Struthio camelus: one gene and its partners. The protein of the gene in region 4 purifies or fractionates together with the protein of the main gene of each other region. This does not show direct contact. Links are inferred from orthologs where the notes say so. Each region holds a gene or a part of one and is shown on either strand. Other genes may lie near its edges.

Region 1 (7,631 bases), on a different chromosome or scaffold from region 4:
CTTTCACGGCTTCACTTCTCAGAGAAAAACAAAGACACAGGGATCAGCATCTCTTGAAAGGCTGTTTACAGAAGTAAGCCTAACTGCTTTTAAAAGAATTACTCAGAACCTAAGAGCACCAGGACACTGAAGTCTGAAAGCACCTCCTGCTGCTGACAGTTTTACACAACTGTTTGCTCTTCACTCTCTCTCCGCACCCGTTCTTTAACTAATAAGACATGACCAGGTCAGTGCAGTCACACTACAGGAGAGATACCGGCTACATCAGCAAACAGGATAAAACAACTGGAGCAGATCTGTGGAGCAGAGCACTTGGGACTATGGATCCAACATGCATAATACACGTTTCAGGTTTCTGTAGTTAGTAGAAGCAGAAACAGACACTAAAAGGAGAGAAAAAAAAGCAGCACCTTTGGGTATGCCCAAAGGCAAGACAAGATGGGTACGCCAACACAAGGCAAGATTCCGCCACCAGGTCCCTGCCACAGGTTTGCCCGCAGCCCATACCTGCATAGGGAATTACATTTCATAACTCCACTGCCAAAGTTATTCCCCACATATGAAAGCCTTTCAGTTTCCGAGACCTGAAAAACACAGGAAAAATTACCTTAACGGGCGGCCATCTGTCTGCGACTAACCTCTATATCCATTTTATTTTCCCAAGTACCACAAAGCTCTGCATTCCCAGGCATCAGATGCTAGTCATGTGTAGATAAAGTGCATTTTGTCTTCTTTGGGAGCATTTTGCATCAGGTCAAAGTCTTTAAAAGAAAGACACTTCTGAAGCTGCAAGTACTTGTTCTTTCTTGGCCTACTTGTTCTATCAAGCAGCCAGAAGACAAAGAATCATTAAAAGGAAATCATGAGACTCATACTTTAAATTAATAGTTCATGGCGGTAACAAACCCACACGTCACAACAATTAAAATACTTGGCTGGGTTGACAACCATGCTTCAATCCAGAAGCAATGGCCAAAAGTTTCCGTGTAACTGTGAATGAGCCATTTAAAGATTTAATGTTGCCAGGTGACCGTAACTGACTGATAAAGAGCAAGCACTATGAGGTAGCACCTAAATACATTTTAAACGCCTGTGCCTCTACTGTATGAAATCCTTCTCCTGAGGATTTGGGCTGAAAACCACCACATATTCCTTGAGTGAGCCATGCATGTAAACAGCTGTAAAACGTCACAAGAGCAGTCAAAAGCACCTTCTGACCTGGAACTCTGCTTTCTCTTCAATGAAAGAAAGAAAAAATTCCTTAAAATGTAATCTAATCAAAAAAAGACTTTGGCAAAGAATTTGGATTCATTGTGTAAACACAACGAAACCAGGAAACAATGTGCAGACTTTGTACTTGCATGGACCTGGTTATCTTTTAAGTAGCAGCTTTTAATTTTCACGCATTACTTCTTTTATTAGCTGGGTTACTAGAGTAAATCAAGCACATGCAACATCAGTATATCAGCATGAGCTTCAGAATACACCACTGTGTATCAATCAAAACTATTTAATTAAGCAGGTATTCAGTTTTGACTGAAAGGTTACTAACTCTCATTTGTCACTATCAGTATAATATACTATACTGTGTGTTTCAGGTTCCTTTCCATTCCAAAAGTCACAGCCCAATAATGCTATGTTTGAAAGAGCACGAGGCTTGTTTCATTCACTTGTCTCATCCTGAAATGCTCAAAAGAGGACAGTTAATGCTTTGAGACCTTGGCAGCATACCAATATTTGGTACTACCTCCCTGCAGTACTGTTGACATCTTGTGGCTTGTTAGAGAAACTATAAACTGCGTTTGCTGGGAACTTCACTCACCAGAACTTCACAGTAAGAAAACAAGTATCTATCCCCTTCTCACCCTCAAGCAGAGCTATCTTGCACATTAAACTTTGCTCTACCCTACCTCCACCACCATCACTCCTCTCTCTACTACAATGGGAGCCAATATCAGAACTAGAACTGCCCAGAAATCCCTAAAATATATCAGGACATAGAGATTTTTTGGAAAAATTGGAAGGAAGGGCTCAAAATCTGATCACTTTTAAAAGAGTCTACAAAATAAAGTCCTTACTGATTTTCAGAGGCTCATTCACTGTATTTGTATTTGCAAAAGCAAATAGGAAACCAAGAAATGCTTTGAAGAGAGGGAGAGAGGTGCCTTAAATATTAGACAACACTTTTTATCTTACCAGGGTTTCTAGTTCTTATTTGTGGAAGCTGTCAGCACCAGAGCCTTGAGGAAAATGGTGTAAAAAATATACCCAAACCTCAAAATATGCAGAGATGGGATTACTTATGCTTCCTAGGCCAGGTGTCAGGTGGAATCTCACCCTGATCCCTAACAGCTGAACAGGAGCTTGGATGCAGAAGGAGGCAGTTTGGGGACTCTTCTGATACACAACTCATTGCTGCTAACATGTAAGTTATTATATAGAAGCTAAAATGTATTAAGTGGGTAATTTTTAGAACTATAGTTGTTACAACAGTAAGTTTAAAAACGTACATATACAGAAACACGTATGTTTCCAAATTTTCCCGGCGACTCCTCTGGGCAAAACCGCCAAAGCTTACAAAGGCCAGGCGCTAGTTAAAAAAGGGTGACCCGGGATGCGGCCGCAGCACTTACCAGGATCCTCCGGTGCCTCTTCCGGGGGTTGGCGCTGTCTCTATCCCGGTACACGGTGAAGCGCATGTCGTCGGCCTCCCGCAGCCTCCCGTTGGAGAACTGGACTGCGGGGCGGACCGGGGGACTGGCGTGAGGCACGGGGCCACCAACAGCCGCCCGCCTAGGGCCGCTCCCCACCCTGCCGCGGAAGAAGCCTCGCGCCGGGCCGGGCCGGGCCCCCTTTCCCCCCCCACCCCCACTTGCTCCAGGCCCACCTCACCTAGCAGCGCGGGCTGCTCAGCCTCGGGATCCCCACGGTATCGCCAGGTGGCGGCGGCCATGGCGCGGCGGCGGCAGCGGCAGCGTGCTGCGGCGGGGGCGGGGCGGGGGGGCTCCGCCTCCGGCCAGGGCGGGCGGGACCGCGCGGGAGGAACCGCCCGCCCGGCCGAGCGGGCCGCCCCCTGCGAGCCGTTCCCCCGCTCAGCATCACCCCCTTAGCCCCGCCGCGGGCCAACCCACTGCTCGGGGCCTACGGCCGGGCCGGGCCGGCGGCTGCACACGCCGGCTGGGCCGGGAAGGGGCGCGGGCCGCTCCCGCCGAGGGCTCGGCGGAAGCAGAAGCGGCCCAATCAGGGGCCAGTTTATTTGCAAGTCTCGGGGGACCTGATTATTTGTCAGTAACGAGGTCGCTGATTGGCTAGAAGGAGGCTGTCGGCCCTGTGGTTGGCTGGCCGGCTCGTCTCCTTGTGGGTGCGAGCGTGCTCCTCTGCATGCCCCGCCCTTTCCCTGCTGAGTGGGCTGCAGCCCTATGGCGTCACTTCCGGCTGGCGGCGCGGCCGCTAGAGAGTAGGGGCTTGTGGGGGGAGGAGGCAGGGTAAGCAGGGCCGCGGACAACGAGCGTTCCCGGCCCCTCCCGCTCTCCGCCGACCCCCCTCCCCCCCCGCTCCGGCCCTTCCCGCCCGGCGACGAAGAGCGACGGGTGGGGAGGGGAACACAGGTGAGCGCGAGGGGGCCGGCCGGCCGGCCGGGGGCAGCGGGCGCGCGTGGCGGGGCGGCGGCGGCGGGTGACGTGTGCGCTACATTAGCGCGGGGGGCGGTGTCCACTGCGCATGCCCGGCCCTGGGCGCCGGCGGAGGGGAGGGGAGGGGAGGGGGCTGCGCCGCGCCGGGCGCCCGGCCCCTCCCGGGGGGGCGCAGCCGCTCCCGCTTTGTCCCCTCTCGCTCCGTTGCGACGGGGCCTAGCGGCTCGGGGGCGCCGGGAAGATGCTGGCGTCTCGGAGGTTTGTCTTCAGGGCTTGGTTTGTGCGTGGGGGGCGAAGAGGGAGAAGCCATCGCGCTTCTCTGTGTCCGTGGTCGTGTTCCAAAGGCTGCCGCTGCTTCACAGCCCCCGCGCGGCTCTCAGAGCGTGGCGAGGTGGCCCTGAACGCACCGGGGGAAAAAATAGCAACGGGGTGCCGTGCAGCGAGGCGTCGCGGTGCCTGCAGCGAGGTGTGAGTGAGAGGCTGGCCGGGCAGAGCTCCGCCCGCGCGGCCGGGGCAGCTGGAGTGGCGAGCGCCGCCTATAAACTCTTTGTCAGGTACTCGGGAGCGTGACCTGTTTGTGTTGAGAAGTAACTGAAGGGGGTCACGTAGTTCTTATGGGTCAGTGGAGGCTCTGTTTGCAGTTCTGGTACTGTTCACGGGTTTCCTTTTGTTGGAGTCAAAGTTTTTGTAGGCTTATGCAAGCATGTCACTTTCAAGATACTAGTCATCTTGCAAGCGCAAAGTCAAAGAGCGCAGAATTCAGGCACACCATTTACCAGTTAACAGAATCTAGTGAAATGAAGCTGACATCTCGCCTCTGCTTCAGGATTCTTGAAATTATTTGATTCTGAGCAGGACATCCTATACAAAAACACGTTCCTATGCATGAGGTACTGTTTTTTTTTTGTTTTGTTTTGTGCATGGGGATAGTTGTATAAGATATAATCTTAATAGATGGATGTATTTTTAGCTATTAATATTGCAAGGATGAAGTGCAGAAGCAACCTTGAGTCTTAAGAGAGAGACTCAAAACTTAGATGCTCCAGGTGATGCCCTAACTTGATCCTTCAGTGCAATGCCTCTCAGAACACTCAGGAAAGACTGCAGAAGCATTTAGTAGTTCTTCTCTGCAGGTACTTTAGTATTTTGGAGTTTTAAAAGAAAAATGTCTTTACTTGACAGGTTAGAAAGCAGGATTTTTTTTCTGGTGCTTGGTATATTTGTCAGATTATTCATAACAGGTCCATGTTGTGGAGGGTAGCACGCAAATGGAGAGATGTTACATGTACTGCTGGCGTACAGATGTTTTGTACCAACTAATTGTTTCTTATTACTGCATGTATTATCTCTGTGGGTTGGTGTGGTTACATGACAAGTTTTCTCACGTTCACATGAACGAAGACACTTTCTGCTAGGGTCAAGCTGGTAACCATGCTGCTGCTGTTGCACTTTGCTTTATAACATATCGGTTTACAGCAAAGGGAGAGGTAGGCTGATCTCTGTGAAAACAGGCAAGAAATGTACCGTCTTTGCTCGGACAAAAAACTACTTGGTTTCTTCCCTTCCTTTAAAGGTTATTCGGAAAGAATTTAGTTTATTTGTCATACATCTGAATAACTTGAATAGTTACGTTCTTGTGTGACTTTCAAACAGTGATAAAGAACTTTTTTTAAACTTTTCCTTAGTACACAGTAAAATATACAGAATTGTATAATAGGTGTGTGTAGAGATTGTGTAACATAGGAATTTTCTCTTCTGAGCAGTATAAAATGATATTGTTAAGTTTTCAGAATGAGCTTGGGGAGATCAGAAGCAAATACTCTTGAGAGTTCCTATTTGGAATGGAATATTGATCTGTTGAAGCATTTATGTGGATAATTATTTGCTGAAGTTAAACATATGCATAAAACTAATGCAGCCTTTGTGGAGGTGGCTTTACTAGTGTTTGTTACTCTGACCTAAACCATTTTCTAGCAAAAACAGATCTCTTCAATAAAGAGTTGAATTAACCCTAGTTTCATCCAAGTGGTTATTTAAAAGGTTAGGAAAGACACCTTCGGAATCGCCAAGGAAGGTGACTGGACAGGAATTGTGTAAAATCCTGAAACTTCCAGTACAGTGACTTTGAAAACCGAGATTTAGAATTTAATTCCCTATTGAGCAAGCAGGCATTAGAGCTGTGTGCGGCTGGTCTTTCCTTTTGGACTCCTGCGTGCAGCCCTTTGGCTCTGTCTAGTATTTGTGGTTGGATTCATGAACGGGGAATGACTCTTAGACAGGAAAAGCTGGCAACTGAATTTTCTTTTCAATGTTGGGCGTTCTTCCGCAGGACAAATGACCAGTACCAGGGTCACAATATCGTGAACCAGAAGTAAGGCTTTCTAAAATGGTGACAGGGTAACCATAAGTTCAGGTTGATTCTCGCTGGTAGGTGTTTATAGTTCTGTGCTATTAACTGGCTTTGCCAGTTCTGTGTGGCAGTCTTCCCTGCTTTTCCCTTTGTAAATACATCAAATAGCGATAGCATTTAAGTAGACGGCTACTCTGTCTCACACAGTAATACACAGAAACAACCTCCTAGGTGTCTTAAGCTGGAATGGCATATCAAAATGCAGGAGTATGATGCTTCTCAGTGTGTATCTTTGCTTTCAAGTACGGTGCTCTGCTGCAGGATTTAGAGTCTGAGAGATGCATGATAGGGCTGAGATTAGGTGAGCCACAATACAAGGAACACAGGTGGATGGGCATGCATCTTGCCCTCACAGGTGGAGTCAGTTGCTTCAGATAACCGAGAAAAGAAAATCTAAGAAAATCTAATTTCTTTTAGGAAACTTTGTATTGTTCCTTTTAAAGATGCTCTTTGCAGCTGACAGGCTGTGCTGTTACTGTTTACTAATGATTGTACAAGTTACAAACTGGTCTTGCTGTAGGTCGTAGCATGCATTTACAGTACCTTTCAGATGATGAGAAAATACTAGGTCATGTGGTAATCTCTTACTCCTCTCTGGAGGGCTGGTGCAACCATCAGCAGCTTTTGCAAAGCGGTTTATCCCTGCTGATTCTTAGACAAGTTGTAATGCATGAGCTGTGAGTAGCTGAACTATACATAAAGCCTGGCTAAATGGACACCTCAAATATAGTACTGTAAAATCAGCTGTCAGTCAGTGAAGTCACTAGTTACTGATACTTTTCTGTATCTTGTCAGGCACAAAATAAAATGCCTTTTTTGTCTGGCACTCACAAAATTGTAGCCAGCATCTACGAGCAATGTAGTGCTAGAGTCTACTGTCATGCCTTAAGCTTTTAGTTGTATAGGGCAAACCCTATACAACTAATTGTACTACCTAATTTTAACTACCAGTAACTGAAGTTCCACTTTAGATTCAGTCTGAAAAAATCCTTACAGCAGAGAACACGTATAACTGCAGGCTTTGAAGGGATACAGCTTGCTGAAAATGTCAGGGGAAGCTGAGACTTCAACTTTTTTTCCGCACCCTCTTTCCTTTAAACTTTCAAGTTTTTTTTCAGAGGGAACTTGTGTTTGCTTTCTGTTTGAACTAGTATCTTGAATGTGAGTCAGAACTACAGTCTTTAATCTGAACTGTGTCCTTTAATGCTGGATACAGTAACAACATTAAATAGATCTTTACTCAAAGTTGTTATTTTCACAGACTTTACAGTGTGTTATGCTAAGTGCTTTTTTTTTTTTTAATAAGTGAAAGAAAAGTTTTTGATTCTGCAGTGGTTTCGTGCGAATGTGCTTGTTAAGTATCTACGTTTGTCCCATCTTGCTGCAGCTTAAACTTTAGAGCTGAAAGATTTGATGGGAAGAGCGGACTGTACATCTACCTAGTATTATCAATACCATTCATTCAAGAAGCAGTAATAATTTTCTTGTTTTCTTTGTGTTAAAGGTATTAGAAATACTATTTCATTAATACCAGTGCCAATAAAACCTGAATCCCTTAGTCCCTTAGGGATCTCCATAATATGCCTTCT
Region 2 (7,967 bases), on a different chromosome or scaffold from region 4:
TTTCAAAGACTGCTAAAATTAGACTTCAGCTTGACAAAAGACGATTGTTTTGATCTCACATATCAAGAGAGAAACCACTACTTGTTACCTACTAGTAGGCAACCATTTTTATTATTTTTTTCATGTAAATCAGAAGAATGCAATTTCTCAAATAAATATTCCAACCTACTTAAACTAGAAATAACAGTTTTATACCAGAAAAACACAAAAATATGGAATTGTATGTTTTAAAAGTTAAATAATAAAGAATTCCACAAATCAGTATAATTTTTGATTTCTGTAACAAGAATATGAATAAGTTTTAATTCTGTAAATATTGTTGGTGCCATAACACCAACAACTTACAAATGATGAAAAATAGCTGAATACTGATTTTCAACTGATGCTACCACTTCTCTCTAATACCTTTTTATAACAAGCCAACACAAGCATGGAAATTATACCTTGTGGTATTTTACAGTAAAGCCTGTCAGGATAGAAGTGTTCTGAAACTATTTGAGTAAAGGCTAAAATAATTCAATAAATTAACAAGAAAAGTATTTAGCTCAACAATCACGCAATAAACTGAACGTTACCTGTCTGCAAAGGTTGAAGTAACAACATGACAGTTTGGCATACTTGCTCTCCAGAGGTCTGCTCAATCTGCTCAAGTAAACCCAAAAAAAGTTCCTTTGGATTACATAGCTGCAAGAGAAGAACGATGCATATTTTTTAATCATCACGGTCATGAGCTAAAAACCCCACCACGAGCACTGTGACAGAGAATCTCTTGTACATCAAATAAAGCAAATCTAAGCATCCAAAATAATTCTTAAGAAAAGCAAATATGAAGCAGTAAGTACTTGCTAATGTTTTCTGTAGAACGTATATGTGTATACACTGTCATACAAGCTGAAAACACAGCAAATATAATTGCACTAAACTCAATTCCTATAGTCTCTAAACACCTTACAGTACCTTAGCAAAGAACCGTTCCTTAGCAGTATAGATTAAAAAATAAAAAAAAGAACCTTCAATGTGAATGTAATTCAAGCAATAGAATTGGCAAGCTGTTTTCTAAGTAGCTGAGTGAAAGGAAACTGGTTTCCTACAGATTAAGGCTTATTTCCCTTCTACACCAGAACCATCAGATAATCACTGCCATACCTCCTATTTCTGCATTAGACAAGAAGTAGTATTTCCAAGGCTGGGGCTATCGCGGTGCCGACTGTAGCAGCAGGACGCCAAAAAAAAACCTTCTAATAGATGAGCTGCCTTTTCCTTCACAGTAGTGCTATAGCTCTTTGTTTTGCCTGGTTACTAATTTCATGAAATTTTTAAGAGGTTTATTTCTGAGAACACTATCCCGGTGCCTAATTCAGATGAAATTCAGGCCTATGAGTCAAAAAGTTATGGGGAACAAGCAAAAGAACCCAGAGTTACTCATGCCTTGTTTTCTTTGGAAATCAGCTTAAAAAAAAAAAAAAGTGTTACTGTATTAAAAACTATGTATTTCAAAAGCATACCTGTACCAACTGATCCAGTATCTTCAGGCAGTGTTCCCTCTTATCATCTTCCTGTTTATACACTAAAATACATCTAACTAGAGGACAAATGAGATTCCAACCCATATTCTTGATGATAACCTGCAAGCCAGATTTTCAGAGAATAAATCAAAACTGGACATCTTCTAAATATAGAAGACTGTACATACAATGATCAAAAATGAGAACAGATCAATGCCTTGGTTCTAACCAACAGCAGATAATACCATTGAAAGCTTAGTATCTATTATAACAGGCTTCTGTGCTTGACATACTTTGTATTCTTTCCCCATATCTGGCAACACAGCTGCATATTCCGTATAGTTTTCTTCAGTGTATTAATCCTAACATGTCGTTATACGTTTCCAGATATTTATATGATAAAACGTTTCAAATAGGAGATTTTTTGCTGGTTTTTGAATAGACAAATCAAGGAAAGAAAATTTAAAGAAATTATTGTTGGACAATATTTTGTCCACGGGAAAACCCATTCTTTGAAGACCTTCAGTTGCTACTGAAGATGATCACAGAGATCATAATCAGACTCGAGCAATATTGCCAAAACATTCCATCCCTCCCTTCCTTTCAGACTTCCTCTTTATCTATATTCAACGTAAGTACGTTCTCCCAGCCCCTCAAAGCGCATACACACAATTTCTCTTCCATTAGCATCAGCTTAGCTGTTTGCTCTTACGGTTTTGGCCAATGCTGTTATAGCCATCTGAAATTCTCTCTCCTGCCACAGAGGGCCACTGTCACTTTCTGTTCGTTATGAGGTTGGCCTCTCTTCTCCCTTCTGCTTAACTCACAGGAAAACAGCTGTTAATAGCTTTGTTAAGATTACTGTGACTTGAGTACACAAGTCATAGTAACTCAAATTACACTAGAATGTGCACTTCACACAGACCAACTGATTAACTATTCATATGTGCACCCTTACTCCATAGTGAAAGTAGCTTTCCCACCTCATATGCAGCTTTAACTATTAATGGTGTGTTTAGCACACAGCTAAGACGTAACATAAATCTAAACTTACCTTATTTTTCTCATTTTGAACTACTTCTAATAACTGAGCTGCATATCCATCTTCTAAACACTTCTGGCCTGCTACCTGAAACAGATTAAAATCTTCTCCCCTGAAATCAGCTTCTTCCAGAATTTGCTAGAAAGAAAATACGCATGTTTGACTCTGTATTTTATAAAAGACAAAAAATAAGCAAACCCAAGCTTTCATTGCAAAGTCAAATGGAATGTCTTTTCTTGCATATCATCTTTTATATACTAAAAATAATTACTGAGAGCCACTACAGAAGAGAAAGCAGTATTTCAATAGTATTTTCCAAGTCTAGACAACAGCATGTTACTTGGGAGATGCATTTTCTGCAACAATCTGCTAGCGTTTTGTTCCTTCACACAGCTACTGCTGAGTGAAACAAGAACATATCTTCCTCCAAGAGGCAGAAGTTACCAAGCATCTTGGGATAAGCACCAAAGAGAAGGCAATGAAGCATGAAGGCTAAACCTAGCTGCCCAATGAGGAGTTCTGCTAACAACCGTCCTGCTTTTAGGGTCATTTTGCTTTTAATTACAGTGTATAAAGACAAACTTACTCTGCTTTCGCCTACAACTGTTATGAAAAGTACTTACGCATCTCTGTATTATGGCTTGAAGTTCATCAACTGCCATTATAGTTTGACTTTGTTCTTCTGGCATTTAAAATTTCTGTAATAAATTAAAAAGAGTGCAATACTAAACCACCCAAAGTAAAAACAGAGGTTGAAAAATAATCACATTGTCAAAAGAACGCTGAATAGAGAAATGAGAAGACTCAAGACAAACATATTACGAAGACTGAATTATAGAAAGATAGGAGAAAAGCATCTTTAAGGAGTGTATGCTATATTATTCTACCTCCTGTACTTGCAGGAGATACTATTTTAGACAGGAAGCAGCCTACATTGCGTACAGGGGAGTAATTTTTCAAATGTTATCAGAGGTATCTTAAAAATTTGTCAGCAGGCTTTGGCTACTACATGAACACCTACATTGAGAACTGCAACTACTGCAGAGCAAGTCTGGACTTGCTGCGTACCAGGTGCGGATGTCCCCGCTACGCTACATTTGCTCTGAATATGCTAATCAGATGAGCTCTCTGCTTAGATCTGACTAGAAGGCTCTAATTAGATGATGCCTGGGATGTGCATAGCTGATCCAACCACCGTGCCAGTTTATATCAACACCGTTTTAGTCTCATAAAGATTACATGTGCAGTATCATTTACTTCTTTCTACTGCTGGTTCAGTGGCCTTTTACCTCTAGACACTACAACTGCTGTTGCTGAAAGCAGTTAAGTTAAACATTTGAGTAAAATTAAGTGCATATCAAGTTCTACCTGGTCAGGGCCATGACTTACAAATAAAGTCAAGTTCAGTTTTCTCACGTGATATATCATAGCGGTAGTCACATTCTTTCTTTATGCTTTACGTTAATTCCACGTGCATAAATATGGTTACATAACCACTGTGACTGTATGCACAAGTCACTTGCCTCTGCCCTTGAGTGAACAGCTAACTCTCACGAAAATATCCAAGCTCCGTATCTATACGGCCATCTCCATGTACGGTTCTCCATCTTTCCCCTTAAGTTTGACCTTAGCTAACGCAATACCTACGCATCTAAGCTATTCAGATATTTACAAAAATCAGTCAACTCACTATAACCTATAAAGCACCCGTATGTGAATTTTATTACTGAAAGAATAAATAACTTACTTTCTGTTCTAAATTGCCTATTTTAACATTTCTACTTCACTCCAATGTAGCAATGCATCGGGCCTGTCATTTTAATTTTGTGATTATCATACACTTTGTTAGCATTCACTGCACTACTTCAGCTCTTAATTTTACAGGATCTTACTAATTCCCCCCAAACAATGTAAAGATACTTTTGAACGTTAATAGCCCTGCATTTTCAGCCCTCAGTAACTTTATAATGCATTGACAGCCTTGAGGCATGCCCTGAGCTGCCAGGGATTTGCCAGCTGAGCCCAGAGCCAGTTCAGGTCTTAACACTTAATCCACTTCCGAATTAAGTCTTTTCAGTGGTTTCAGTAGCCAACGACACCTGAATCACGAAGAACTGTCCGCTACCAATTCTCAAGCGAACTGCCCCCTCACTGGTAACATCCAGTTGTTTTCAGCCCCTTCCCTCGCTGGGCGACGGCACGCAGGCCAACGCGAGGCGGCTGCCGCCCGCGCCCGCCAGGCTGAACGAAACGCGCACCACGCCGCCGCCCGCTCACCTCAGCCGCGGCCGCCGGGCTGCGGCCCCTCCGCGCCGCCACCGCCACCGCCTCCCGCCGCTCCGGCCCGGCCCGGCCCGGCCCGCCCGGCCGCCGCCGCCGCCTCTCCCCGCTCGCGGCCGCGGCCCGGCTCCGCCTCCCGGTCAGAGGTCAGAGGGAGGGAGCGCGGCGGCAGCGATGATGGCGGCCGCGAAGCCGCAGGGCGTCGCGAAGGGGAAAGCGAGCCGGCGGCGCGCAGGTAGGCTCCGCGTGCCGCCCCTCTCCCCCCCCCGTGCGGCGCCGTGGGCTCTCCCTGTGCCCTGAGGCCGCTCCGGCGGAATGACCCAACTCGCGGCACAGGAGGAGAGGAGGCCTGCGGGTTCCCGGGGTCTCTGCTGTTGCCTGTGCGGCGACAACGGTTGGAACACCTCCCGGCGCGGCTCCCGCCCTTCCGGCGGTGCCCGCGGGGCTGGAGGGGGCTCTAGAGGTTGCCGTGAGCTCGGTGGGGCTGGGGAGGGGCGGGCAGCGGTGCGGCGCCGCCGCCGCCGCCGCCTCCTCCTGGGGCTGCGGGCCCCGCTTCTGCCGCGGTGGGCGGCGCCGGCGCCGGGCGTCAAACGCGCCGCATTTCACAGCTGATCAAAGCCCCTGAAAATACACGTGTGAAGCTTATCAGTCTGTTTTGTTTCCGCCCTGCTGCTCCGTGTTTGCCTGGACAGTATTGACTGCCCAGAAAGTACTGAAAATGGCTTCATGTTTTTAAAAAAAAAAAAAGTGGCGTATGCACGAAGGAGATGGGCGGTGGCAGGGAGGACGGGGCTCCGGCGGGGGGACGCCGCGTCTCCTCTTAAGTGCGGGAGACGTCAGGTGTGTTGGCACGGAGGGGCTGCCTGGGCGGGCGCAGGAGAGCGGGGTTGGCGCAGGCAGAGCCCCGCTGCGTCGGCGGTGCCGTGCCGGAGGCCGCGGCCTGTCGCCGGGCGGGGGGCCGGGCGGGGGGCCTGCGTGGCCGAAGGCAGCCCCTGCCCGCGGCCAGAGTGAGGGGAGGGTGAAAAAAGGGTATCGCTTCCCAGCGGTGTGGCCGCAGGGGGAGAGCTGCGTTTCTCAGCTCAGACAGAAGCCGTTTTCCTCTCGCTTGCTCGTTATGCAGAGCCTGTCACACGAGAGAACAGCGTTAGGCCTGTCTGTCCGCTCGCGTACAAAGATTGCGTCTAACTAGTTGCTGAGTGGATTACCAGCTTACGGTAGCTAGGCGCAGCCACCAAAAACCAAGCGCCTAAGCAACTGCCTTGATTATGGTTACAGTTTGGAGTTTGTAATGTTTTCCTGGATCGAACTATTTGCACGGTGGCTGAGCATGGAAACATGACAGTTCCGTTTGTTCACGGCTTAAAATGCATTTTAAAGGAAGAAGGTATACTGATTTATCTATTTGATTTCTAGGAAATAAGCATTCAGCTGCTCTGAAGAATGAAGATGCTGCTCAGAGGTACGATTTCTAACTAGTAGTACATAGCGATCTCATTGTTTTGCTTCATTTTGATTATATTCTCCATTTCACTTTTTTCTTTTTCTTTCTCAAAATACCATAGCTAACTTAAGGAAATAAGCCAGTATACAGATCATGCTAACCTGTTTTCAATGATGCTGCATAACTTTTAACTACATACCTTAATATAGAGATACCTCATTCAAACACTTACAAGATAAAACACCACTTCCCTACTTAAAGCACTAGACAAGGTAGTGAGTGATAGTAGCTGTAGAGGGTGGTATTATCATTTTTTTCCCCTTGAAACCCTTTGATTTATTCCTTCTTTTCTTTTGTACCCTCACGCTCAGTCTTGTCCTAGTCCTTTTTCTTTCCTGTACTTGACGCCTCTCCTGTCAATCCATAGATGTTTGTCCCAGGCTTTTGGTCCAGCCCGTTCTGGGCTTCCCCTCCTTTTAAGAAGAGTCAGGTTTTATAGTTGGCTTTTTTAAAAGTAATACTTCTGGTAAAGTAATAATAGCTGACTTAAGTCAAAAGACATTGTTGTTGGATTTCAGACTGTACTGCTAATAATTAGATTTCTATCTTATTTTCTCAACTCTTTATCTAAATCTTGAAACACTGATTTCGGAGTGTCTTAACTCTTTAAGATCCTACTTGAGAAACCAGTTCCTATCCTCTCTGGGGGATTCTCAAATGACCCTTGGAAAAACAGATACATCTCTTCCATCTCTTATTGAGCATTTGCTGAACATGAACCCGGTATTCTTTAGAATGATTATAGCCAACTTTTGAGTCCAGAGCTGTATATTAAATCTTAACAGGGCTAAAAGCTGCAGGACAGATATTATGTGCTGTACAGGTGTGGGGGAGGAGCTGACATCTTCTTGTTGGATGAGCATGTAGCTGGCTCACACAATGACTCAGAAATGTCAGCCTGAGCAACTTGGTCTGGTTTGCCCCTTCCAAGTGCCAGAGATTTGGTTTACATAGCGTTTATTACCCATCTGAATGGCAGACTTGAACTGCGCACTAACTTCATGCGGATCTTAAGTCTCAGATTTGTCATCCTAGACTTGATAGTACTTAGGCCAAGCTCCAGGAGAATAGCTTGACCAGAAAGAAAAATGAAACGTGTTTAACCTCCAGTCTTTTCAGAAATGAAGATTAAATGGTTGTCCTTGTTTTACCTATGGGCTCATACCTTCTTCCTTTAACCTGGGTGGGACAGCATGTCACCTGTTCCAGAGCAGGAAACAAGTGGCTACATGAGCAGTAAATGCTGCCCAAAACGTTCAGAATCTTAGTGCCGATGCAAGTGGCAGGAGAGGGGTTTTTTTCTGGTGAGAGGAAGAACTACAAAGGGAAATCTCTGTTCTGTCACTTGGGCTGCTGGTGTTTAATCACCGTAGTTCAGAGCAGGAGAATAAAATTCAGCAAAGACCAAAATCCGGGTATATCAAGAAAATGTAATACATAGTGGAGTCTCATTGCAGCCACCTGGAAGGATATAATGGAACGTATGACCAATGAGTGCAAGCAAAACTGCAGTTCTTGTGGCAGAACGTGTAATTCCATTGTATAGTTAGACTCTTACATGCTTATGTAGTAAAAAGCGTACCCCTGCCTTTTGAGTTCTTACACTTTTGAGCCTCCTCTGTTGGGAGAACTGGTTTGG
Region 3 (5,332 bases), on a different chromosome or scaffold from region 4:
TTCACCTTTGCTATGGCCTCTGTTCTATCACCCACCAGACAGACCCAGGCTGCTGTTTGATGACTATTACTTGTAAGAAAGATCCCTGCTTTTAACCTTTACCTAGACTTCTCCGTTAAGTATTTTAAGCAATGCTTTAAATATGTGTTGCATGGTAAGCACAACCCAGGCAGAGCATTCATTTCAGTGAGTGCGTTTATAGCAGAACCACGGTGATTTGGAGCAAGGAGGGCCTCATGGGCCCGTCCTGTCCCAACCCCCCTGCCCACCCCACCACCCACCCACAGAGAACGTCACGTCGGGGCCTCTGAAGGTCCTTTTCCGAGACGCGCGGCACTGGTGGCCCAGGGCCGAACGACAGCTTTTCGACCACCACCACACGACGACCACGCTGTTCCCATCCACGGGCAGCTTTATTGCAGGAGAGCGCGGCCGCCCCGCGCAGGCCTCGGCGCGGCCGGCCTGGTGTTCCCGCCGCGGGGCCGCGGGCGCCGGCCTGGGCCCGGGGCCCGGGGGGGGGCCCGGGGCCGGGGCCGGGGCCGGGGGGGGCCCGGCTCAGTCCCGCCAGCGGTGGCCGCACTGCGCGTTGCAGCACTTGTAGAAGGTGGTCATGGGCTCGTCGGCCGAGCGCGTCTGGATCTGCATGAAGTAGGCGCGGGGGTGCTCGCACTTGGGGCACGGCTCTGCGGGGCCAGGCGGGCGCCAGGTGAGTCCGAGCGGGCCCCTCGCCGCCGCCGCCGCCCTCCCAGCCCCGCGGCCCGGCCCTACCGGCGGTGGAGTCCACGTTCTCCCAGGCCGCCGCGCCGCCCAGCACGTCGTCCACCTCCTTCAGCTGCGGGTACTTCCTGCTCGTCACCTGCGGGCGCGGCCGGTCAGCGGGGCCCCGGCCTCCCGCCCCCCCGCCCCCCCCCGCCGCCCGGCCCGCCCCCCCGCGGCACCTTGCGCGTTACGTTGCGCACGTAGGGGCAGGTGGTGCAGGCGAAGCGGTGGCACCGCGGCCCCTCCTCGGCCACCAGGACGTTGCCGCAGGCCGGGCAGAAGAGCAGCATCGCCGCTTCCGTGGCGCCGCCCGCCCCTTCCGGCGCGGCGATGGCGGCGGCGGAGCCCGAGGAGGAGCTGGCGCACGCCGAGGTGCTGGAGCTCTTCCAGGCGGCGCTGGCGCGGCTGGTGCAGGACCCGCTGCTCTGCGACCTGCCGCCTCAGGTGGGGCCCGCGGCGGCCGGGGCGGGGCCCGGGCGGGGGGGGCGGCGCGGCCCACGGGGCGCGTCGCTCCCGTGTCGCGGCGGTGCCGCCCGCAGGTGACGCCGGAGGAGATCGGCTCGCAGGTGGCGCTCGAGTACGGGCAGGCCATGACCGTGCGCGTCTGCAAGGCGGACGGCGAAACCATGCGTGCGTACCGGGGGGGGGGCCGGGCCGGGGGGCCGGGGGGGGTTGGGGGGGGCCGGGCCGGGGGCGAGGCCGAGGGAGGTTGGGGGGCGGGGTGGGGGTTGGGGGGGTTGGGGGGGCCGGGGGAGGTTGGGGGGGCCGGGCCGGGGGGCCGGGGGAGGTTGGGGGGGGCTGGGCCGGGGCCGGGGCGGGGGGAGGTTGGGGGCCGGGGTGGGGGGGGTTGGGGGGGCCGGGGCGGGGCGGGGGGAGGTTGGGGGCCGGGGTGGGGGGGGTTGGGGGGGTTGGGGGGGCCGGGGGAGGTTGGGGGGGCCGGGGGAGCGGGGTGGGGGGGGCCGGGCCGGGGCCGGGGCGGGGGGAGCGGACAGGCCCCGCTGAGCCGCCCCCGGTCCCCCCCGGCCCCCGCAGCCGTGGTGGTGGTGCAGAACGCCTCGGTGCTGGAGCTGAAGAAGGCGCTGCGGCGGCACGTGCAGCTGCGGCAGGCGCGGCAGGGCGGCGCCCAGCACCTCAGCTGGTGAGCGGGGCGCGGGCCGGAGGACCCCCCCCCCCCAAAACCCCACCTCGGTGGCCTTTCCAAGGCGGGCAGTTCCTCCTGCCGCCCGCCCTGAGCGTTTTCCCTCCCCAGGAAGTACATATGGAGGACATACCACTTAACCTACGCTGGAGAAAAGCTGGCAGACGACAGGAAGAAGCTGAGAGAGTGAGCGGGCGTCTGCGGTTTGCTGGGGAGGGATGGGGACGAGCTGGAGTCAAGCTGTCCGGGTAGCCCGCAAAGCAGCTGCACAGGCAGGGATCAGTCTGGGCTGCTCTGCTCTGGCTCACTTAGGTTCTGCACCACCCCCCCCCCAAAATAAAAAAAAAAAATCACTGCGAGGCAGGGCTGGCATTTCAGGCGATGCAACCGCTCCGCCGCTGACCGACTGGCCGAGAGGCCGCCTGGGCTCGTTCCCCAGCCACAGCTTGTCCTGCGCTGAGAGCATCCCGTTCGCACCACATCTGGCCCCCCCCGTATCACCCTTTGGTGTCCATGCCAAAACTAAGGCAGAATAGGTCATGTTTGCTCAGTTCTCACCTTAGGTACCCTGCAGAGACAACACGAAAAAAGTATGGCTGAGAGGTAAGGCAAGTAGCAGGCGGAGAAGGCAAAGAAAGGCTGGTGTCACGCGCCTGATGCACATTAGTTCAGAGGACCACATCCATTCGTGTCTGGGGAACTGGTGTGTGTGTGTTAATGGAAGCGCACGGAGAGCAGCTACCAAAGGGAGGATGGGGACAGGTCACATCACATCACGTGGGGGAGGGCATCCAAGGTGGTCTGAAGGAGGCAATCAATCAGGTGGAGTGTTTGGAGTCGTGGAATCACAGCATGTGTTGATGTGGAGTGATCTAGTCCAACACCCCTTTTGGGGGTGGTGGTGAGGAGCAGGAGCTGTCTCAAGTAATATAAACAAATTTAGCAAGCAGGAAAAAGCCCTAGAAAGACAGCCGTAGGTAAGGAAAGCTGTCCCTGAAAGATCGATCTGTGGGTGATAGCTGTTACGCTTGGGCTGTGTTGCAGTTTAAAAGGTAGATGATCACATCTTGGAGTCCTGGCAGGATGTTCTACTCACGCAGGTGAGAATTCGACTTTGTCCTGCATTAAAGCACAGCACCTGAAAGTATGAGTCCATCTCCCCAGGGGAAAGAGGAGGCTAATAGGATGTCCGTCAAAGGTGGTGGTTCCTGGGGAATTAGCATGTAACAGCATCACTCTCTGTTCAGGTATGGCATTAGAAACCGCGATGAGGTCAGCTTCATAAAGAAACTTCGAAAGTAACTTGTCAGGTAAGTCCTGAAAAATCCATTAAGAGCTACCAGAGCATCCTCCTTTTCCCAGGGCTAGTGCTAATGCTTGTAGCAGCTGATATTGCTGCTCTCCACTGCTTAGCAGAGCATTCCTAAATGCCCATATCTGCATTAGGCACACAGCCTGGCTCTAGTCCATTTCCACATTTTGGTTTTGTAGCCTGTGCCATGGATGCTAACGCAGTGTCTTTATAGCATTGCTGCTGCTCCTGAAATGGTGTATCTTAGTGCTGACAATGGCTTATCTCTAACCTTGTCTTGCATTTGGATTCTGAATCTGCTCCCACAACATCCTGGGACTCATTAAATGCAGTGCTCCTTTGCCCTTACGACTGCTTCTAGGATGCTGCTTTCTTTTAGGCTTCATCATTTCTGGAGCTCACTGTCAGGAATGCGGCAGGCTGCTAACTAATCCCTAGGAGAAAGAAGGGCTCTCTGTGCCTACAGGTGATTGCCATCACCCAGCTCATTTGATCCTTCTTTGTGTCTCAGACTATCTCCAGACAGAGCAGAGCAACTTTCTCCCGCTCTGCTCCTAGCTCCTTCCTGTACCATGCAGAGCACCTGCAGTTAACAGAAACGTCCATTGGGTGTACATAAGTAAATGCAACAGCAAACATAGCATGTTCTCCACTGTTCCACAGAGGATGTATTTTGAGCCCTTTTCCTGCAAGCTAGAGAAAAGAGAGACGTCAGCTCATGTCCTGTGTTTACGTTCTCAGTTTCTCCATTTTCTAGTTTACAGAGACTTGAATTCAGCTGATTCATTGTCCTGCGAAGCCGGGCATGCTGCTAGAAAACTTTCGTTCATGGTATTTTTGTGCAACTGATGCATTTAAAAATGCTTCCAACACAGGAAACATTATACATGTATATTTATCTCCTTGTAACCCATGTGGACCTCATGATTCCAGTATGAGGCTGCCATTTTTTAAAAAAAAAGTTATGTACACATAAATGCATGGTGTGGCCAAGATTCTCAAGCTTAGTAAGTTTAAACTTGTGTCAGCTTCCCTATTCCCCCCATCTAAAAACACATCTAAAACTCTGAAAAGCAGTGGTATCATCAGCTTTTCCAAATGCCTGTTTGTTCATTTTGTTTTGTAACTCTTAACTGGCTGGGTTAGAAAATGTTATTTTGCCACCACAGTGGCTTTTTTTTTCCCCCCTCTTTCAATGCTGCCATCCTCACGGTATCCACCATAAGAAAACGTGTGCCCTGACAGAGGAGCTCTATCTATCTGCCTCGAGGTGCCTACGACCACTGGTGGGTCACCTGTGGCAGTAGCTGATCCCCATGGACAGCCTAGGCCAGGTATTGCATGCTGGACTCTTGTATTACCACAGTAACTATTGTCCCTGTCACACCTTTTCTTTGTTTAACAGATAAAAGCAGATAATCCAGCTGTACCAAGACCATTCTGTGGATTCAGCACCTTCCTAGAGGAAAAGGTTGTAGCATTTCAAATGGAAACAGACTCAGAGTCGAATGGAAACTCTCAGATGCCACAGCTTCTGCAGTTGCTGTTTGAAACATCTGCCTCGGAGCTGTATGCTGTGTCCCTTTTCAGGGATTAAAGAGACGATGTGGTTTTCTGAAGCCTTTATGGCCCTTATTTCATTTCCACCTGCAAACCCATGTCTGGCTATGGTTGGAGTGCTAGAAAAGGACTTACCTACCCTACAGGGGCAGGAAACAGCATAGAGGAGAAAGTAACAAATGTAGCCACAGACTACGCAGAACAATTAACAGTAGCTAAAACGCTACCTTTCCATTTAATCACCACCTTAGCAGTAGTAAACAACTCTAGTTAAAAATGTAGTATTGAAACTAGTGTAATAAAAATAATGGCAGCAGAAAAGGTTCAATACAATTGAACAAGGCACAAACATTCTGTTTTCAGAGTCTTCTGAGATAAGGCAAAACATGCCTGCCAAGTGCTAAGGAGACAGTTTAAATTAACCACGGGCAGGGTTAGAAGTGTCATTTGGATTAGAGGCTCTGTCCATACGGAACCAACACAGCAAATGCAAAGACAGTCCATCTCCAGTGCCTGCTCGAGAAACAAGTCTTTGCCTTTCAGTGGAGCTGTGCATCCAGGTC
Region 4 (7,970 bases):
TCAGATAAGGTTCCCAGCCCCAATGCAGACAGGTGGCTGTCTCAGTCCAGCTGCCCCTGACTAGGGCTGGGGCTGAGCCTGATTTTGAAGTACAGAAAGACAGGAGGTCAGAAGAGACTACCACCTGACAGGACTGCAGAGCACCCGGCATGGCCCCTGCTTGGCTGTCAGGCACCTCTCTCCGCGTAGAAGGGGGTTGCAAATCCTGGCAAGAGTCAGAAAAGACAAGGGGGGACCATCCCCCTCCTCCACCAGCACCAGAGAGGCCAGGGAGCATGGATGCAGGGTCACAGGCATCCTGTTTACTTGCCAGCAAAATGTCTCTGGGACAGTCCATGGAGGCAAGATAGATGTATCCTCCTCTAGAAGGCCAGCTTCTTCATCAGCAGGTAAACCCTGGAGTCCACTTCAAACCCATGCAGATTGTTTGCATCTCCCTGCAGCCGCATGAGCAGCCCCCCATAGGACACGTAGGCAGAGCTGGGGCAGGAGGAGAGGATTAGTGAGACGGGGGAAACCCACAGGAGATCCTGTCTGACATCCCTGTGCCTCCCCTACTACCCTGGGGCACTGCTCCCCCTCTGGGGACAGACACTCACAGGCGTGTGGCTGCCTCTGTGGACGTTTCATCCCCTTCGATCCTGTACACCTTGCCGTACATCACGTACTCAAACTGGTCTGCCCTGCAATGGGACAACGGGAGCTCAGAGAAGAATCAAAGCTGCATACTTCCCTTTTCCTGGCATCCCCCATCCAAGCACCCTTTGGGAGAAGGTACCACACAGCCTCTCGGCATTTAAGCTCTTTCCTCGCCACCACCTGGCTGCTCTGTGGATCCCAGCAGGCACAGCTTGTGCCACCCACCCACGCCAACTGGATCCCTGGTACCTGGAAGGTCTATCGTCTGTGGGGTTATACTCCCCGTCATCCAGGGTGCCGTCTTCGTACAAGGTGCTGGCAATGACCAGGCGGAATTTGTCTCCTGGGATAAGAGGGCACAGGAGCCGTGAGAACGTGGGTGGGCGCAGCCAGATCAGCATCAGGCTCATGGGGCAAAGCTGGCAGTGCCACAAGCTACTCATTGCAAGTACCACATGATGCAGGCCACATACAGGTGAGCAAGCCAGTCCCAGCTCCATACAGCAGGCACGAGCTGGAGTATGGGAGCTGGGCACAGAGCACTTCTCATGAGATCCTCCATTGTTCACCCAAGGGCACCGCTCTCGACACCAGGAACACACATCTCAACGTGCAACAGCACAAGGGCCTGCCCTCCACGAGGCCCAGAGTGAGAGATGCCAAGCAGCACCCTCCCAGGCAGTGAGAAGAGCTCAGCATGATCCCTCCCCCATTTCCCCCCTCTCTCCATCTGAGACTGGTTCCAGGTTCCTTGTGACCTTTCAGCCTGGCTTTTGGGACATCTATAGCAGATCTGAGTAGGTAAAGGCAAAGGACTGCTCCAGAGGGTTTGGCACAAGCCCCACCCCTGTGTTCAGGCCTCCAAGAGGATTGTGGGGAGCGAGGAAAGATCATACCAGGCCCTTTGTCTCCTCCAGTTCCCCAGTCGTGCATCACCACCACGGAGGAGACCAGAGCCACAAGGGTACCACAGATGACATTTTCACTGGACGTAACAACAGATCTCCATACAGTGTCCCAGAGGGTGAGGCTGAGCTCTGGACAAGTACCTGAGACCCTATAGCACTAACTCCAGCCTTCCTCACTATGGCAAGACTCTGTCTTCAACCACAGGAACTCATCTCAGAAGTTCTCTTTAAGGCTTAGTCCCTAGCAACCGATGCAATTTCACCGCAGAGCGTATATGGGGAACAGGGCACAACAGAACCCAAATGAATATCATAGTGAGGTGAGACAGAATCCAGGTCACGCCAGCAGAGCAAAAGTGCCCAGCACCACTCACCTTCTCTGATCTGGGGACAGCAGAGGGGTCTAGGAAAGCCTGAGATCAACCTTGCTCCTCTGTGCACCAGTGCGTGCCTTCCCCCACCCCGGGCCGACACCAGCTCACTCCCGGCGCATTCTGTGCTAGCAGCCCGAGAGCTCACCGAGGTCCACAGGGTAGATCTGGATGTTCACGTCCAGGATGAGGTCCATCTTGAAGGACTCGCTCTCACAGTGCAGGCGGGACACTGTGGAGAGCAGCAGAGTCAGGAGCAAGGACACAAAAGACCGCACAGGCTGGGTGGGTGAAGGGTCCCAAGACTGCGCCATCCTCCCACCAACCAAGCATGAGCTATTTGTGGGAGCACAGGGCTTGGGGCTGGTCCAAGAGCCTGGGGCAGACACAGGTGTGTGTAGGAAGAGGAATGGGAGATGAGGCTGTGTGCATGTAGATGGAGCACACCAGGAGGTAGAGCAGCCCACGGTGTCGGGGAGGAAGGGGGCAGTCCCAGGCTGGGGGTGAGGGCCCAGGGCACACCGGGGTGAAGGGCGGACAACGCGCCTTGGGTGGGAAGGGCAGAAAAGGAGATGGGGCAGTCGCAAGCTAGGTGTTTGTGTGAGATGGGGGCACACTGAGGAGAGCAGCCTCGGGCTGCGGAGGGGGAAGGGGAAGCAGATGTAGCACACTGAGGGAGCAGTCCTGGGCTGGAGGAGGGAAACGGGACAGGTGGGCGGGGGGGGCCGAGGGGACAACGGGGCCCGAAGGGGGAGCAGGGGGACCCGCAGGGGGAGCAGTCCGAGGCTGGGGAGGGGGAGACGAGGCACAGCGGGGGGGCGGCGGCAGGCGCACGGCCAGGGAGGCGGCGGCGGCGGCCATGCCGGGCGCCTTCGAGAAGGTTCCCCGGAGGGCCGGCGGCGGCGGCCCGGGCGCGGAGCCCCGCTCACCGCGGTCGAACTTCTTGCCCTCGGGGTCGATGTCCTTCACGTCGAAGATGTCCTCAAAGAGGATCCCGGCCATGGCGCCGCCGCCTCCGCCGCGCGCGGCAGCAGGCCGGAAGTAGCCTCGGGAAGGGGGCGGGGCGGCGCTGGCGCCTGCGCACTGGCGGGCCCGGCCGGCCGCGGGTGTCCACGCGGTCCTAGCGCCCCTCCCGCGGTCTCTGGGGGCCCCCCTCGGGCTCTTCAGGGACCCCCCCCCCACACACACACCCCGCCGCTCCGCGCTCCCCGGCCGTGTGCAGCGCCGAGCACCCCGCGGGCCCCGCAGCCCCTCAACGGCCCGGCGTTACGCTGGGCACCTCCGCCGACTGGGCCCCCGGCTGGGGCAGGCGGAAAGGGGGCACTGCAGTTGGGAGTGCGTTGCAATTAGGGGGTATTGCAATTAGGGGGGTACCTTGCAACTCGGGGGTGCATTGCAATTTGGGGTACATTACAACTGGGAGTATTGCAGTTGAGGGTGCATTGCGGTTGGGAGTGCGTTGCAATTGCGGTGGCATTACAACTGGGGTGCACTGCAGTTAGGGGGTGCCTTGCAATTGGGGGTGCATGGCAAAGGAGGACAGTGCAAAGAGAGGGGTGCATTGCAGCGAGGTGGGGGCACTGTGACGAGGGGAGCGCACTGCAGTGGTTGGGGGTGCATTGCAGCAGGGAGTGGATTGCAATGGGGGGTGCTTTGCCATGCGGGGTACCTTGCAATGGGGGTTGCATTACAAGGGGGGGGCGCATTGCAATGGGGAGGTGCGTTGCAGTGGGTGGGGGGGTGCATTGCCGGGGGGGGGTGCTGGCTGCCGGCCTCGGGGGGGCCCCGGGACAAGCTCCCTGGCGCGTTGCTGCCCACCCCGAGACTGGCGCAGGAGCCGGGCAGGGTGGGGGGCAGGCACGGGAGCCGACCCCCTTTTGGGGGGGCCTAGACCCCTTTGGGGGGGGGGGGGCTGGCGCAGCCAGCCGGATGCCGGCAGGGGGAGCTGCGAGGCCGCGGATGGCAGCGGCCGGGGCCGCGCACGCCGCCGCCGCCCCGAGCGAGCGGCGCCGGGGCCGGGGGGCCCCGCAGCGGGCTCGCCGCCCCGATCCCCCTCCCCACCGCGGCGGCGTCGCGAGGAGGCGTTTGCCCTGGGCCCCGCACGTGCCGCCGGGCCAGCGGCGGCCACTGGTGTCATGAGTTTGGCGGACTCGGCTGGCCACGGCGAGGGGCCGGGCACGGAGCGGGCGGGAGGCTCGGGACGCTGCCGAGGCTGCCCCCCCCGCCACGGCAAGCGGTGCCACCGTGGTGCCAGGCAGGCAGGCAGGACAGGGTGGCCTCTTGCCCCCTGCAGGCGCTGCCGCCACACCAGGGGCCACCATCTAACCAGGGTGTGTGACCCGCCGTGCTCCGGCCCCCCGTGGGCCACCAGGCATGGGTGCCGTGGGGCTGGCGGTGGCACCGGGGCCGCGGTCCCAGCTGGCGCGGCGGCGCTAGACGTCGGGTGGGGGCCGGGGGTGAGGACAGGGCCAACGGCTGTCACCCGGTGGCCTGCAGATGAACCGGAACGGCAGGAGGAGGAGGAGAAGGAGGAGAGCGGGAGTCTGACAGCGCCGCGCGGGATTTCGCGCCTCGGGGCGCCGCGGGGTGCCCAAGCGCCTGGCGTCTGCTCAGGGAGCCGCGAACGCTGGGTCGAAAGTTCAGCCGCGCTGGCGCACACGCGGGGTCGGCCCTGTCCCCCCCCCCCCCCCCGGCCCCCAAATGCCACGTGCCGCCTGGCTTTAACCTATTCTTCCCCGGCTCGGCCGAGACTCGTGCCAGCCCATGCCACCCCGTGGCCCCATGCTGGGGCTTTGCCGAAGTTTGGGGAGCGGGTGCCAGGCTGGAGGTGGCACCGAGCGGTGCTGTGCGGCACAGCGGTGCCCCTCCGCGGGTCGGGAGATGGGGGCTTGGTGTCTGGGCCAGGCGTCCCCCTGGTGTGGGGACGCTGGAAGGGAAGGCGGCATGGTGCCGTGTGTGGAGCACATGTCACCAGCCGGCCTGGGCACTGTGGATCTCCAGCGCACGGCTAAGGCGGCTGGAGAGAGGTCTCTCCAGAGCATGGCCCGTGGTGTCCGGAGACGAGACATCTCCAGTGCTTGGCCATGGTGTCTGGAGGTGAGACGTCTCCAGAGCGTGGCCCATAGTGTCTGGAGCCGAGATGTCTCCAGCACATGGCATGTGGTGTTTGGAGCCAAGGCATCTCTGGAGCATGGCACTCGGTGTTTGGAGCCAAGGCATCTCCAGGGCTTGACCATGGTGCTTGGAGCCGAGACATCTCCAGCACACGGCGCACGGTGCTTGGAGCCGAGACGTTTCTGGCACGTGACCCACGGTGTCTGGAGCTGAGTTGGTACATAGCCCATGTTGCCTGGAGCGGGGATGTCTCCAGGGCACGGCCCCGGGTGCTATCCGGAGCTGAGGTGTCTCCGCATGGGTGCTGTGATGTCTGGAGCGGAGACACCTCTGGCACCCCGGCCGGGCTGGCTGGGTCTGGCCTCTCTGGCGCGTGCCCCGTGCCCGGAGCCGGCCGTCTGCGGCGCAGCGGGGGGCCGGACCCGGCGACGGCACTGCGGGCACGCAGGTGGGGACGGCGCGGCAGCGGCGTACGCTGGCGCGCGGGGGCCGGCGGCCGATCGGGGGGGCAGCCGGGCGGTTCACGGCGGGGTCGCCCCGCGGCGGTGCTGCCGAGCGCGGGAACAGCCGCTCGGCTTAACGCACTGCGACGTCACCTCCAATCTCCGTTCCTTCAAATCATCGTCTCAGCGGCCGGGTCTCCTCCCCCCGCCACCCCCCTGCCGCCCCGCGCTCCCAGTCTGCCCCGCCGTGCCCCCCAGCATGGCAAGGGTGCCGTCCGGGGGGCTGGCAGCGACGTTGCTGTGCCCCAGCCCGCCCAGGCAGGCTGGCACGGTACTCACGGCTGTGCCAGGGCTGTGTTTTTTGGGGAGGGGGCCTGGTGTGGCGCTGGGATGCTCCCCGTGCTCGGGGGTGCCTGCTAGGCGAGGACAGGGGCATGGCTGTGTCCCCCCCCTTTGGGTGCTCTTGGGTTGGGCCCACTGCGAGGTGACAGGAGGGGACAGGGTTCACCCCGGGTTTATTGCACCCAGCTGCCCCTGTCCGCCCATCGCTGAGACCTGGCACATTCGGTGCAGGTCGGCAGGGCTCAGGACAGGCGGCGTGGGCTGTGTTTGCCAGCTGGCAAAGCAGGCGCCCGAGGGACGCTGCTGCCCACGACCTCCGCCAGCTGGAGGCAGGCAGGATGCCGGGGAGCGGAGGCAGAGGGACGGCAGCCCGGACGCCTGGGCCCCGCTGCCAGCTCCGGCTGCTTCCCTGCCCTAGCGGGACGAGGGTACATCCGAGGGGAGCTGCGGCGCGGGGCGAAGGTGGGCCTGGCCCGGCTCGTGCGCTGGTGGGGCAGCGGGGCCAGCCAGGCGCCAAGCCGCCCGCGGAGGCCAGCTGGCGAGGGGAGGATGGCGCCAGCTTTCCGGGTGCCCCCCAGATGCCGCGGTGCCGGGGCGGCAGCGGGGACCTGGCGCAGCCCCTCGCCCCCCCGGGGACCGCAGCCGCCTCCTGCCAAGCCCTCCCTGGCTTGGCCGGTGCCCAGAGCTGTAAATCAAACCTGCCCTTGCCCCCCTGCTTGAGGCCGCCGGTGGGGTGGGGGGGGGACCGGGGGGGGTGTTGGCACAGGCACCCCGGCATCCGGCTCGGGGCTCCTGGCCCTCCGCGGGTGCCGGCCGCCTCGCTGACCCCGTGCCAGCGCGGTGGGCACCCGCGCGCCGTGCCGCAGGTGGCCGTCGGGGAGCCGCGGGGGGCCGCGTGGGCTGCGGGGCCACGGGCAGCGCCGCTCTGGGGGGGCTCCGGCCGCGCTGGGGGGGCTCCGGCGCCAGGCCCGGGCTTGGTGCCGGCAGATGTCAGTGTAAGGCCGAGGTGGTGGGAAACACGGCGCAGGCTGGTGTTTCCGTGCTCTGCCCGGGGCGCCCCGCTGACCCGGCTCGGCCCCGGCGCCCCGGCCCCGGCGCCCCTCCGGGCCCAGGCCGCCCTCGCTGCCCCCGGCACACGGTGCCGCTGCGCCGGCGGGGTTTGCCAGGGGGGCAGGAGCGCGGCGCGGGAGCACCCGCTTGCCAGCCCGGTGCCTGGTGTCTCCCCCTTGTCTGGGATTAAGCAAACCCCGCTGCGAGGGCGGCTGGGGTGGGAGTGTGGCGGGGAGGGGGGGAAGCACCCCGCCGGTGCCCCCAAAGCAGGGCACAGATGGGCACCGGCTCTCCCCCCACCTTGGGGCACCCCCAAACACCCCGGCACCGGAGGGGACCCATCGGCGGGGGGTAACCCCCCTCCGGCTGCCGGTGGCCCGGCCCGTCGCGGGCCGGCGTGGTGGCTGGCAGCCCGGTGCCCGCGGTGCCAGGCTCCCTCGGGAGCCCGGGGGGCCCGGAGCCCCCTCCGCTCGTTAGCTGCTCGCCTGTTATCTGCAGCCGATAAATTATACAACACAAGCGCGCCTTTGAAACGCAGCCAGGCCCTCCATCCGGTTGCGGCGGGGGGGCGGGGGGGGAGAGGAGCGTTTTGGGGTTGAACGTAACTAATTCAGCAAGCTGTCTCCAGCAGCCCTCGCCAAGAAGGGGGACAGCAATGGGGGGGACCCGTCTGGGGGCGCCGCCAAGCCTCGGGGGCTCGGCGGCGGGGGGCCGGGGCAGCTCTGACGCGAAGGATGCTCTGGCGCGGGAAAGTTGGGCGGCACGGCGCGGGGGGCCGGGAAAACTGCCCCCCCCGCCACCCACGCCCACCCGTGCCCGGGCGGGGGGCCCCCTGAGACCCTCCGGTTGGCCTTCCTTGGGCGCTGGCAGGCAGAGCCCTCCCCGCGGCTCGGGCCGGCGCTTCAGAGGCCTCGGCGGCCCGTGTTATCTGCCGGCACAAAGGAGCCGCGAAGCCGCCGTTGGGGAGCAAACAACCGGGCAGGGAGAGGCCGGGCGGCTGGCGGGCGCCTGGCGGGCACCTGCGCGCCGGGGGGAGCAGGGCCCCGCAGGGCCCCCCCGGCCGGGGAAACTGAGGCAGCGAGGGGCAGGCAGGGCGCGGGGCG

Evidence for each region.
Region 1: the proteins of POLR2H (region 4) and POLR1E purify together in Homo sapiens (affinity purification with mass spectrometry; 3 studies listed by BioGRID and IntAct, with this or other methods). This does not show direct contact. The link is inferred for Struthio camelus from reciprocal best matches to the Homo sapiens genes POLR2H and POLR1E.
Region 2: the proteins of POLR2H (region 4) and RPAP2 purify together in Homo sapiens (affinity purification with mass spectrometry; 3 studies listed by BioGRID and IntAct, with this or other methods). This does not show direct contact. The link is inferred for Struthio camelus from reciprocal best matches to the Homo sapiens genes POLR2H and RPAP2.
Region 3: the proteins of POLR2H (region 4) and POLR3K purify together in Homo sapiens (affinity purification with mass spectrometry; 3 studies listed by BioGRID and IntAct, with this or other methods). This does not show direct contact. The link is inferred for Struthio camelus from reciprocal best matches to the Homo sapiens genes POLR2H and POLR3K.

The regions. Positions count from the first base shown.
Region 1 is NC_090982.1:2,270,319-2,277,949, reverse strand, and holds the start of POLR1E (DNA-directed RNA polymerase I subunit RPA49), read right to left. Parts: upstream 3,013-7,631; 5' UTR 2,954-3,012; coding exon 2,893-2,953; intron 2,738-2,892; coding exon 2,634-2,737; intron 585-2,633; coding exon 508-584; intron 1-507. Other genes in the region: ZBTB5 (zinc finger and BTB domain-containing protein 5), read left to right, coding at 3,874-3,890. UniProt on the Homo sapiens protein: Component of RNA polymerase I (Pol I), a DNA-dependent RNA polymerase which synthesizes ribosomal RNA precursors using the four ribonucleoside triphosphates as substrates.
Region 2 is NC_090949.1:18,833,491-18,841,457, reverse strand, and holds the start of RPAP2 (putative RNA polymerase II subunit B1 CTD phosphatase RPAP2), read left to right. Parts: upstream 1-4,961; 5' UTR 4,962-5,001; coding exon 5,002-5,062; intron 5,063-6,240; coding exon 6,241-6,286; intron 6,287-7,967. Other genes in the region: GLMN (glomulin), read right to left, coding at 576-684, 1,506-1,625, 2,560-2,685, 3,171-3,236.
Region 3 is NC_090956.1:19,331,358-19,336,689, reverse strand, and holds POLR3K (DNA-directed RNA polymerase III subunit RPC10), read right to left. Parts: upstream 1,071-5,332; 5' UTR 1,050-1,070; coding exon 939-1,049; intron 857-938; coding exon 769-856; intron 684-768; coding exon 556-683; 3' UTR 504-555; downstream 1-503. Other genes in the region: SNRNP25 (U11/U12 small nuclear ribonucleoprotein 25 kDa protein), read left to right, coding at 1,090-1,203, 1,299-1,389, 1,792-1,897, 2,009-2,083, 3,145-3,199; RHBDF1 (inactive rhomboid protein 1), read right to left, coding at 5,309-5,332. UniProt on the Homo sapiens protein: Core component of RNA polymerase III (Pol III) which synthesizes small non-coding RNAs using the four ribonucleoside triphosphates as substrates. Can mediate Pol I proofreading of the nascent RNA transcript.
Region 4 is NC_090950.1:22,750,632-22,758,601, forward strand, and holds the start of POLR2H (DNA-directed RNA polymerases I, II, and III subunit RPABC3), read right to left. Parts: upstream 3,017-7,970; 5' UTR 2,921-3,016; coding exon 2,848-2,920; intron 2,151-2,847; coding exon 2,067-2,150; intron 983-2,066; coding exon 889-982; intron 684-888; coding exon 600-683; intron 481-599; coding exon 363-480; 3' UTR 1-362. UniProt on the Homo sapiens protein: DNA-dependent RNA polymerase catalyzes the transcription of DNA into RNA using the four ribonucleoside triphosphates as substrates.